Caenorhabditis elegans: one gene and its partners. The protein of the gene in region 1 interacts with the protein of each later gene in a pairwise test. Each region holds a gene or a part of one and is shown on either strand. Other genes may lie near its edges. The genes, in order: gmeb-3, ing-3 and rbr-2.

Region 1 (3,753 bases):
TTTGAAACTTTCTAACTTGAAAAGCTTTGGGTGGCTTTACATTTGTCCAAAACATGGGACAACTTTACAACTCGTGGATTTGAATTTCATCTAACTATAATGTCACACTCTACACCGGAACTCTAAAAACAACGCGCAATGAGCTCCAATGAAACATCGCGAGACGTGTCCGAAATAGTGACAATTGAAAGTGTCTGTGTGTCGCCCACCAATTTATGATAAGTGTGTCTCATATAGAGGACAAATGCGATAAGACAGAGAGATGGACGAAGAAAAGTTGAATGGAGTTGTAGACGATTGGAGGTTCGGCTGGTGGGGAGGGACACATAAGGTAGGGGGGACCGCCTGTTTGAAAGGGGGGACTCAATGCAACAATAAACGTATTATGATTCATTAAGTTTCAAAACCAAGTAACATTATGGCAAGTATATTGAGGTAATGTAAATAGTGTCTCTCTCATAGACAGCTTATCAGCAAGAGAAAATGGAATTTGTTCTAAGACAGGCTGAAAGTGGTGGGAATCTGTGTTTCAAACTTTTTTTTGATACTTTTTTGGCCAAAAAAGTAAAGCAGAACATCTTTATCATACCTTAGTTTTGTAACAACCAAATTCGAAACTAAAACTTGAAAAACAAGCATTCCCACTATCGCTTTTACGATATCAACCATCTATTTGAACAAAAACAAAATAAGATACTATCATATTAAAGTTTGTTACTTTTGATACTGGGAATGAGCAAAAAAAGAGTTTCAGTTTTTTTGGGCGTGGATCCTAACTGTAGTATTTCAGTCAAAAAACAAGAAGAGCTTGCTTTAGTAACGCTACTGTACCGTACCATTACAATAAACTAGCCAGTATTGCGTAAGTACCCTGGATATGCCGAGATGGAGCCCACAATCAATGTCGCCTGCTCAATTAACAATTTTGAAAATTTAGGAAATTTCATAAATTTTAAAATATATAACTTCCACTTCGCGATTTTTCATGCACAGCCGCAATTCATTGAATAGGTATTCCCCTATTCACCCATTAATATTTTAAAATTAAAAAAATCATATCTTAGCTAGAACATAAAAATATATCTAAAAATTAATTCCAGATGTTTCTCCACTGCACATGAAAAAAAACAAGCAAACAGTTAATTTTCAAAACAAAAAAAAACATTTTAAATGTAAAAATTGTAGCTAGCTCCAGGCTCCAGTCATATGACGAATGAGGTAATCGTTGTTCGTTAAAAAGTATAAAATCACCTTCATTATCGGGCCTCTCATGGGTATTTAGATCATTGAATTGCGGTTTCAAAAAGTAAAAGTACAAGTCCGGGTCACCCACCACTTTTAATGGAATGTGGATATGCTCAAATACAGTGCTCATTGTAATGGGATGGCGTGGAGGATGATTTACCCTGTGTAACAGAAAAATAGTAAAAATGTTTAACACCGGATGTTTCAGAAAAAATCCCATTTCAAATAATTTTGCAGAGCATTTTTTTGAATTCTGTGTAATTCTTCACAACAAACGTACTGGAAAAAAATCTGGAAATTTTTGAATTTAGTTGGGTAAACAATTTTAGAAGCTGATTTTTTTTTCAAAAAAAAAGCTTCCATGCAAATTACCGGGCCTCGCAAGAACTTAAAAAAACTCTTATGAAAAACATTTTTTTGCTAGTTCAAAATGCTCTTCCGAAACTAATTTTTCTGCAGTCATCTATTTTAATAATCATATTGTTTGTCCCTAGTAAGGCTTACGATACCACAATACTTTTTGGATTTTTCTCTGCAATTTTTCCAGTATAAATGATATTTTTGATCATTGAAATGCCTTAACTTTTCAAAAAAAAAATCATTAATTTATTTTAAAAATATTCAAAAACACGCGAGAAGCCAACAGATCCAAGCTGGCGGAAAACTAGTTGCGTGTCAGAAATTATCGTGTCGCGTCGGGTCGCCCATCTTTATTCATCGATTACCTGAAAAATGTGTGACGACGATGATTTCGAATTCTCTACTCAACCCGAGTTCGGATCAACCAGTGAGATGAAAAACGAAGAGATGCTGGTTCCAAGTGATCCAAATTTCGAGATAGACGGGAGACGCGTTCAGGAGAATATGTATGATGTGAGTTGGGATGTGAAATTTTGAGACAATTTTTTTGGAAACAATTCTTCCAAAAATTGAAATAGTCTTGTTAGTCTCGGAAATACTTTTTTGGCTCGAAAAAAATCTTCAATTTAGTTTGAAAACTTCAAATGCACCTACATTGCTGTCTGAGATACGAAAAATGCCATTTTGGCTCCAATTAGCAATTCGAAAATAACAAATAAATATTACAGCAAGCATCGGAACTCAGCTATACTTACCTGGATACTCCATCTGAACATATCTGGACACCAATTGTACCTCTAAATGCCACCACGGTGCCGGTTACCTGTGGATATGTCAAAGGAATTATGCATCTCAAATTGTTCAGGTGCCCCGGAATTCGTCAGGCTTGCATCGAATATGAATGTATGGTGGCTTTTATAATGTGAGAGAATGAATTTATTCTGGAATTTCAGCACAGTATCTGACTCCGAAACAATTTACGGAACTTGGTGGAAAAGGGCGACAGAAAGACTGGAAGGCGTGTATTCGTGTGGAGAATGTTAGCTTGAGGTGAGTGCAGAAAGATCAATAAATTGTATGCTTTGGTTTAGGCTCAGGCGTATGCTTAGGCTTAGGCCTCGGTTTTAGGTTATGTGCTAGGCTTAGGTTTGGGCTTAATCGTAACCTTTTGCTTGGGACTGCTAGCCACGTTTAATTCTTAACGTTCCAGTTTTAATTCATTAAATTTCAGAACACTATTGGAGAACAAAACCATCGATTTCTATAATCACAAGAGTATCTGTCATGGACAGTGCCAAAGTCGCAACTACATGAACTCAACGGGCAGAGCTCCAGTTAACAAACGTCACCTCGAAGATGTTCTAGCTTCCGGAGATGATGCATCTGAGCCAACGGAGCAAAGTAGTGGACAAATTAGTGAAGAGCCAAGTAATATTTTAAAAATCATGGTGCATTTAATTTTAAGGAAATCCTATTTTTTCAGTCAAGAAAAGAGGTCGTGGGCGTCCAGCAGGCAAGAAAAACAAGGCAAAGCTGGAAATCAACTTTGTTGAATCAGAAGATCAGCTTGTTTTTGAAGAGTTCTTCCAGCCAGCTTTCTCAACAAGATCCCCAGCTCCAGAAAGACCTGTGTGCAGCCCAGCTCAGGATATTTACAGTTGTCTGCAAAATGGTAAGGAGTTTTTGCATATTTTCGAGTTTCACTGCCTCTACCTATCAAATAAACTTCCAAATGATTCCAGATCCAATGAGTTTCTGGTCTCAAATCAAGCGAAGCGGCTTCATTTCTCAATTCTGTGATGACATAATTGCCGGTGCTATCAATCTGAAACAATCTGCAATGACTCAATCCTTGAATCAAAATAGTGCATTTGTTCTGACTCGTGCCACATTTGCTCTTGGTATCCAGAAGCCGATTGTGAATCGAGTGCAATCGATCGAGAGAAATGTGAATGAACAGAAGAAGCAAAATGAAATGATGGAGGACCAGGGAAAATATCAAGAAGATGCTCAAACTGAAGCTGACGACTTGGATAATCAACCTAGATGCAGTTATCTTTTGGAGGATCTTTAATAGATTTTAATAATAATTATTTTTTGTTCTGTACTGTTCGTACCAGTACTAGTATTTAAATAAAAGATTTTTTC
Region 2 (3,753 bases), on another chromosome or scaffold:
GGCTCTGGATATTTGACATATCTTGTTCCTGTTTTTGAAAAAAAAATGGGTCTCGTAGTCCGTGAATTTTGAATTGATTTTTTGCACAGATTTTGGGTAATTTCGCTGAAAAATGTGTATTTTATGGGTTTTTGGGCAGTTTTTTCCATAATTTTTCACTATTTTTAGGTAAAAATTCGGAATTTCTGATTTTCAGCCAGTTTTTTTTTCATTATTTTCTCCGATTTTCTAATAAAAAAGCGAATTTTTCGCTGAAAAATGCGAATTTTAGTCCAATTTTCTGATAAAAATCCGAAAATTCGCAGATTTTTCGGGTAATTTCGCCCTAAAACTTAAGTTTTTCATAATTTTCCCCGATTTTCTGATAAAACTCCGAATTTTTTCCCTTAAAAAAGTGGATTTTCGTATTTTTAGGCAGTTTTTTTCATAATTTTTTGAAAAAAAGAGGAATTTCTCGTATTTTGGCTAAAAAAATGACGAATTTTTTTTGATTTTCCTGAAATTTCATTGATTTTTTTTGAATTTCTCGTCGGATTTTCCACAGGTTTTTTAAATTTTTTAAAGGATTTTTCAGTTGATTTTCTGAGATTTTTTCACTAAATTGAGAATTTTCGTTCGATTTCCTGGAAATTTTTTTGACATTTTTCAAATTATTTACTGATTTTCTTGCCTCTTATTACGGGTTTTCACCGATTTTTAGCGAAAAAATCTACCGATTTTATCGATTTCGTATCTCTCGGATTTTCTTGAATTTTTGCAGCGATTTTTAGTATTTTCGGTGAAAAAAATGTGGATTTTCTAAATTTTGCGATTTTTTTTTAATTTTCGGATTTTTAGGCTGTTTTTTTTTGTTTTTTTTTTCTAATTAATTTATCCAATTTTCAGCTGGAACTCGATCGTTATGTGCCTCCGCGTGCTCGTACCGATGGCTCTCCTCGCCTGGTACTTTACCAACGAACATCCGAACGCGCTCCGTTGGAAGAATCCGGCAATGCCGAAGCAGTATTCATACGATTTCTACCGTGCCTACCCGTTCGACGATCCACGCAAATACCCAATTGTCAACTATTCGTTTGATTTGGAATAGAAAATTCCTTAGTTTCGGTTGTTTTTTTTTTGGTAGTTTTCTCCGTTTTCTCCTTTTTTGTACTATAAAATATTCGAATTTTATCATTTTTTTTTTTGCCTTTTTTTTGCCCTTTTTTCAGCGTTTTTAACGCTTTTATACCTATTAATTCGTTTTTTTTGTTGCTTAAAATTGCGCCTAATTGAAAAAAAAATTCCTAAATTTTATATGATTTTTTGAAAATTGAAAAAGTCTCAGTTTTCACCCCTAATTCCTATTTGAATTACCGCTAATTGGATTTGTTCGATGGAGCGCGCTTGCACGTTTTTAAGTTTATTTATTTTATTTTTTGTTATTTTCCACCGATTTTCAATTTTTTTTAGTTTTCGGTGTATTTTTACATGAATTTTAGAGAAAAAGTCAAAATAAATGCTAAATTTCGATTAAAAAGCACGCTTACAGGCGTAAAAATGACAAAATTAATTAATTTCACTGATTTCGGTCTGTACGCATGGTTTTTATTCGAAAATTTGCATTTATTTCGACTTTTTCTCTAAAATTCAAGCAAAAATACACCGAAAACATTAAAAATCGGTGGAAAATAACAAAAAATAAATAAATTTAGAAACGTGCAAGCGCGGCGCTCCAACGAACGAGTTCAATTGGCGGAAATTCAAATAGGAATTAGGGGTAAAAACTGAGATTTTTTCAATTTTCAAAAAATCATATAAAATTTAGAAATTTTTTTTTGAATTTGGCGTGTTTTAAAGCAATTTTCCCACTGGCGCTACGCTACTCCACTTTTAATTAATTAATTATTTGGAAAAAAAATTCAGAACTCGGCGCTGGACGCCCCCGCACAAAATGCTCTTCCTCGATGATTTTTTAGAAAGTAAGTGGTTTTTTTTGTTGCAAACTTTTCCCCTATAAAAACACCCAAATTTTCAACGTTTTCCAGTGCTCGATGAGCTGCCTGCCGAGCTGAAGGAGAGAAGCGATGAAATTCGGCGAATCGACAATGAAGTTGAATGTAAAATTTCGAAATTTTTCTGAATTTTTCCCTTCATTTTTTCGAATTTTTAGCCCGTCTAAACCGTAATCGAGAGGCGATCAACGATTTTTTCGAGAGAACCGGCGTAAATATGCCCGAGGAGCAGAGAAAGGAGCGCTGCAAGGTTTTGCAGGAGGTGAATTTCATGAAAATTCCTGGAACTCGAATTTGGCAGCAAATTGACACGAAAACGCAGGAAAAAGTTGATTTTTGCCACAAAAACGGCTAAAATTCGTGAAAAATGAGAAATTTCGCTATAAAACCCGTTTTTCTAGCTTTTTCGTGAAGAAAAATGAGAAAAAATGGGATTTTTTTGTACTTTGCCTGATGTCATTTTTTCACTTTTTAAGCTTTTTTTTCCCACAAAACACCAAAAGTGCTCAAAAATACTCAAAGTGAATGACGTCTAAAAACACTAAAATGAGGTCGAAAAACTCAAAAAGTTGCTCAAGATCCGACCAAGTTGTAACCTTTTCGGAAAAAAACCTAAAATTAGAATTTTGTCGTTTTTGATCGTTTTTTGAAGCTTTTTCTTCACAAAAATAGCTTAAAAACGCAAAAATTAGCCCAAAACGCTTATAAATCTCAAAATGCATCCAATTTTTCAAAATTTTCCGCTAAAAATAAAGGAAATACCGAAATTTTCAAAAAATGAGCATTTTTCCGCGAAAAAATCCCAAAATTCCGCTAATTTTTCAGAATTTCTCGGAAAAAAACGGTCGAAAAAATTCCTTTTTTCACTGAAAATCTTTTTTAAAAAACAGGACAAAAAATCGCAAAATTCAGACAATTTTTCGGAATTTCTTGTTAAAAAGTGAAAAAAAAGCTGAAAATTTAGCTTTTTTCACGAAAAAAAATTGAAAATTCAACTAATTTTTGGGAAAAAACATTTACATTTGCATTTTCTAATTTTTTTTTCGTGGTTTTCTAAAAAAAACTTTCAAAATCTCAAAATACAACCAATTTTGCCGAAATTCTTGGAAAAAAACCCTAAATTTGCATTTTCTATTAATTTTAAAAGCTTTCTCCCCCAAAACTACCTTATAATCCCAAAAAATCAGCCAATTTTTCTAATTTCTCTTTAAAAAAAAAGCTGAAAAATTAGCTTTTAAAAAAAAAAAAAGCTTAAAAATCCCAAAATGCCAATTTTCCAGATTTTCTCGCGTTGAAAGTGAAGGAAATGCCGAAATTATAAAAAAAAATTAGCTGTTTTCACAACAAAAAAAAAGTCGAAACCCCCGAAAAATCATAAAATCAACCAATTTTTCAGAATTTCTCTTTAAAAAGTAAAAAAAAGCTCAAAAATTTGCTTTTTTTTTTCAATAAAAATTTTAGAATTCAACCATTTTTTCAAAATTTCTCGTTAAAACGTTGAATAAGCTCAAAAAAAAGTTTTTATCACAAAAATAGCTGAAAAATGGCAAAATTTCTCTTAAAAAATGAAAAAAAAAGTTCAAAAATTTGCTTTTTCACAAAAAAAAAATTGAAAAAACCCAAAAAATTGCAACCAATTTTCTTCAGGAATTCTCCACAATCCGCGTGCTAGCTCAACGCAAATATCTAATCGCCGAAAAAATGCAAGAACTCCTCAAAAAGTACAAAGTTCACTTGGAAAAGGAGAAAACCACGTTCCAGT
Region 3 (3,753 bases), on another chromosome or scaffold:
TGAAAAATTCAGTCAGATGGACACTGATATCTTCTCGGAATACAGTAATCTTTGTGTGAAAAAGTTATATATTTTATTAACGATTTATCTTAGAAAAATTGTTAACTGTCAAACGAATGCTCTGAACATCTGAAAATCGTGCACTGTTCAATATGTTACACATTTTCGCTTTAAGTTCCGCGTTCAGCCTCACTTTCTAACCACGTCTGTGATTACACGTCTTCAGCGTTCGGTCATAAACTTCTGATTCTCCCTCCGTTTCGTCTATTTGTCGTAAGAATGTGTGTAGTCGTGTGAAACAAGTCTTTTTCGCCCTTTCGTTTTTAATCAGCTTCTTCACACGCAGACAGCTGATTCTGCTTTTGCAGTTATAATCTATGTCTTCTCATTCTCTCGCGCGCAACCATCGTTTATTTCAAAACGGGCGCATAATAACTTTTTAATGAGTTTGATTTAGTTTTGAAAAATAATATTCACATTCCTTAGAAACTATGGAGATTCACAATTCGGCGAAATCAGTTTCTACATATTACTGTGTACTTTTTACAACTTCTATGATTTTAAAGTGGCGAGTTTATGCGGAATGGTCTCGCCACGCTCTGCGATTTTTTTTTCAGAAATCTGGTATGTGCGCCTTTAAGATTACTGTAGAGGGTTTGCTGGCAAATCTCCAATTTTCTCGTTTCTCCCTTTTCTTCATTTTCGATTGTTCTTTTCCCAATTTTCTGTATTTTATGTAATTAGACATGCCAGAAAAATCTCTACAGTCATCTTAAAGGCGCACACGCCAATTTTTTCATGAGTTCGCAGTGCGTGGCGAGACCATTCCGCATTGATACGCCTCCCTTTAAAACCGTAGTAAACAAACACAGTCTCAAATCTTCAATTAAAAATGCTGGCTCTCGGAGCCATAATTCCATGTTCTCTTTTTCTCTCAGTCTGTGTTCATTTTACATGCGTCTTCCTGCTTTCTCTTCGTTTTCTTTGTGTGCGCCCATCTTTCCTCAGCTGCTGGCCTCAAAAAAAAGTTAGTGCAAAAATTCACGTATTACTAGGAGGCACATGCGAGAACGCGTCGCGCACATAACATGAATAAAGTGTGATTGGGCAGGAGACCGAGAGATTATTGCTAGCGAATAGCATGCAAACAGAGGAGTGACAAGACGACGAGAGTGGACACTCGAGAGTAATGTTCGGCGGAGCGCACTTTCCTCGATTTTCGTGGGCCGACCCTGGTGGGCGCTGGGGGCTATTTCCTCTCGGTTTTTCGATTTTATCTATATTTTTTTCTGTTTCTCCGCTTATCTTTACCGCACGCAATTTCTGACGAAAAGGACACCGACCTACTGCAAAGTGGTCAAAGAATACCAGTCTCTCAATGCATTTTAGGTGACACATCAAAAAGATTCAGAGAGATGGAGTTTTCAATGATTTGAGTTACTATACGATGCCTTACGTGTCTTGACCTACATTTAAAACTCTACCAAAGATCCTTGTCTAAACTTTGAAAAGCTGCTCGACCTCAAAAATTGGAGAAATATATATATTTAAATATGAGTCATTTTTCAGCTTAATTATTTATACAATATTAAGTTCAAATCAAAAGCTTAATAAGAAAAAGCTTAAAAGCCAATTTTAAAGGAGTATAAGCTAATTTTCATTTCCGGGTTTCTATGACGTCTATCATAACACTCGTGATGCATCTTGTTTCATCACATGGAAATTTCTCGTCGGTACTTAAAATGTTCTTCTTCTCAAAGCTTTTAATTTCAATTAATATTAAAGTCAAACAAAAATGAAATTTACAGATCTCATGAAGCTATAAGCCAAACTGAAAAATGCGTGCACGTCGTCAAGAGAACAGTATCTCGACGCCGTCAGCACCGTCGACGAGCACTTCTCCGCGGAAGAAAGCATCCATCGGAAATTCAAGATCTAAGAATCATGGAAGCAAAATGGAAATGTACGATCAATTCTATAAGGTTTGATTACTAAGACATACATAAGGTGAATAAGCTTTCATAGTTTTCAGAAATTCGTACGACCTCCAATGGCTCCAATTTACTACCCGACAGAAGAAGAGTTCTCAGATCCAATCGAGTATGTTGCCAAAATACGACACGAGGCCGAAAAATTTGGAGTTGTTAAAATTGTTCCGCCGGCGGTAAGTTATTTATTCGGAAAATTGTACGTCTGACGTTTAACAAGTTTTTAATCGTTTTTGAAAAGTCTGAAAAAAAGCGAAACAATGTTTGTAGTAGTTTAAAAACTTCTACTACTCCCTTCAATTAAATACTAAATATTAGAAAATTTTCAGTTTACTAAAAGAATGGTCACCACTTGAAAAGTGCAATTTTATCTGAAAATTTTTGATTTTTCCCTCAAAAAACGAATCGAGAAGCATCAACTCTCTTTTTTTGCAGAATTTCAAACCACCGTTTGCTATCGACAAAGAAGCCTTTACATTTCGTCCCCGAACTCAAAAACTGAATGAAGTGGAGGCAATTGTCAAAGAGAAACACACATTTATTGACCGATTAATCAATTTCAATCGATATTCTGGTCTAACTTTTGAGTTTCCAGTGGATCGAGATGGAAATATTGTCGATTTGTATCGATTACATCGTATAGTTCAAAACTTTGGAGGATGTGAAGAAGTGAATGAAGATGAAAAATGGAGAGACGTTGCCCGCGAATACCTTCCAAAGGAGCAAATGGCTCGCGGTGTTCCGTCGGCTTTCATAAATTTGATTCGATCACATTATAATTTGCACATTGAACCATTTAATCGAAATTTGAAAGAAAAAGCGATGAAAAATGATGATGAAAGTGATGATGAAATGGAAGAATTAAAGCATAAGTGAGTAATTAAGAAATTTAAATAAATAAAAATCTACAAATCAGTTAAGAAAACATAATGTAGATGGATTTTTTTGAAATTATATGCATTTTAAATTTTTCTTATGTACCCATGTTTTTGTTTTTTAGAACCATGAAAAAATGTTAAAACCGATAAATAGTAAAATTTTTAATTTTGTTATTAATAATTTCCCCCATTATTCTAATTAAAAACGAATGAATTTCATAGATATCAACATCACCACGGAACTATGCGGACAGAAATAGAAGTTCCAAATGATAAAACTACTGAAGGAGGGGAAGATGAGTGTCCAGTGTCGATGCAAAGTGGTCGACGGAGATCTAAAAATAAGAAGGCTTCATCTTCAAGAAAGACTCTTGGAACATCTTCAAAGAAGAATTCAACCAGAGGAAGAAGTTCGTTTTTTAAATTTAAATTTTTTAAATTTATTTTCACAAATTACAGAAAATAAGAAGAAAGCCGAAGGAGACGATGATGATGATGAAGATCCAATGGATCAAGTATTCTGCGTTGCTTGTAATGAAGGAAAGGATGAAGATCTACTACTTCTTTGCGATATTGATGGATGCAATAATGGTCGTCATACATATTGTTGTGATCCAGTACTCGATGAAGTACCAGAAGGCGAGTGGAGATGTCCAAAGTGCATTGAATCAGAGGATGCAAAAATCGGATTAGACTGGGGATTTTATGATGCGGACACAGAATACAATCTGAACTCATTCACTGAATTTGCCAACAAATGGAAATGTGATTATTTCGGTGTAAAAGATGTATCACAAGTGTCGTGTGATGCTGTGGAACGATCATTCTGGAAGAATGTAATTTCACACGAAAATCCAGTTTCTGTCAAATACGGTGCCGACTTGATT

Evidence for each region.
Region 2: the proteins of gmeb-3 (region 1) and ing-3 interact in a two-hybrid assay, tested with the Caenorhabditis elegans proteins (one large-scale study listed by BioGRID).
Region 3: the proteins of gmeb-3 (region 1) and rbr-2 interact in a two-hybrid assay, tested with the Caenorhabditis elegans proteins (one large-scale study listed by BioGRID).

The regions. Positions count from the first base shown.
Region 1 is NC_003281.10:3,766,571-3,770,323, forward strand, and holds the start of gmeb-3 (SAND domain-containing protein), read left to right. Parts: upstream 1-1,929; 5' UTR 1,930-1,977; coding exon 1,978-2,118; intron 2,119-2,333; coding exon 2,334-2,508; intron 2,509-2,558; coding exon 2,559-2,655; intron 2,656-2,836; coding exon 2,837-3,033; intron 3,034-3,088; coding exon 3,089-3,277; intron 3,278-3,347; coding exon 3,348-3,679; 3' UTR 3,680-3,753.
Region 2 is NC_003280.10:13,874,132-13,877,884, forward strand, and holds the start of ing-3 (Inhibitor of growth protein), read left to right. Parts: upstream 1-1,902; 5' UTR 1,903-1,930; coding exon 1,931-1,958; intron 1,959-2,024; coding exon 2,025-2,096; intron 2,097-2,149; coding exon 2,150-2,253; intron 2,254-3,638; coding exon 3,639-3,753. Other genes in the region: ndub-8 (NADH dehydrogenase [ubiquinone] 1 beta subcomplex subunit 8, mitochondrial), read left to right, coding at 886-1,087.
Region 3 is NC_003282.8:10,918,269-10,922,021, forward strand, and holds the start of rbr-2 (Lysine-specific demethylase rbr-2), read left to right. Parts: upstream 1-1,801; 5' UTR 1,802-1,838; coding exon 1,839-1,982; intron 1,983-2,025; coding exon of another isoform or gene 2,026-2,032; coding exon 2,033-2,164; intron 2,165-2,423; coding exon 2,424-2,860; intron 2,861-3,088; coding exon 3,089-3,276; intron 3,277-3,325; coding exon 3,326-3,753. UniProt on the Caenorhabditis elegans protein: Histone demethylase that specifically demethylates 'Lys-4' of histone H3, thereby playing a central role in histone code. Does not demethylate histone H3 'Lys-9', H3 'Lys-27', H3 'Lys-36', H3 'Lys-79' or H4 'Lys-20'.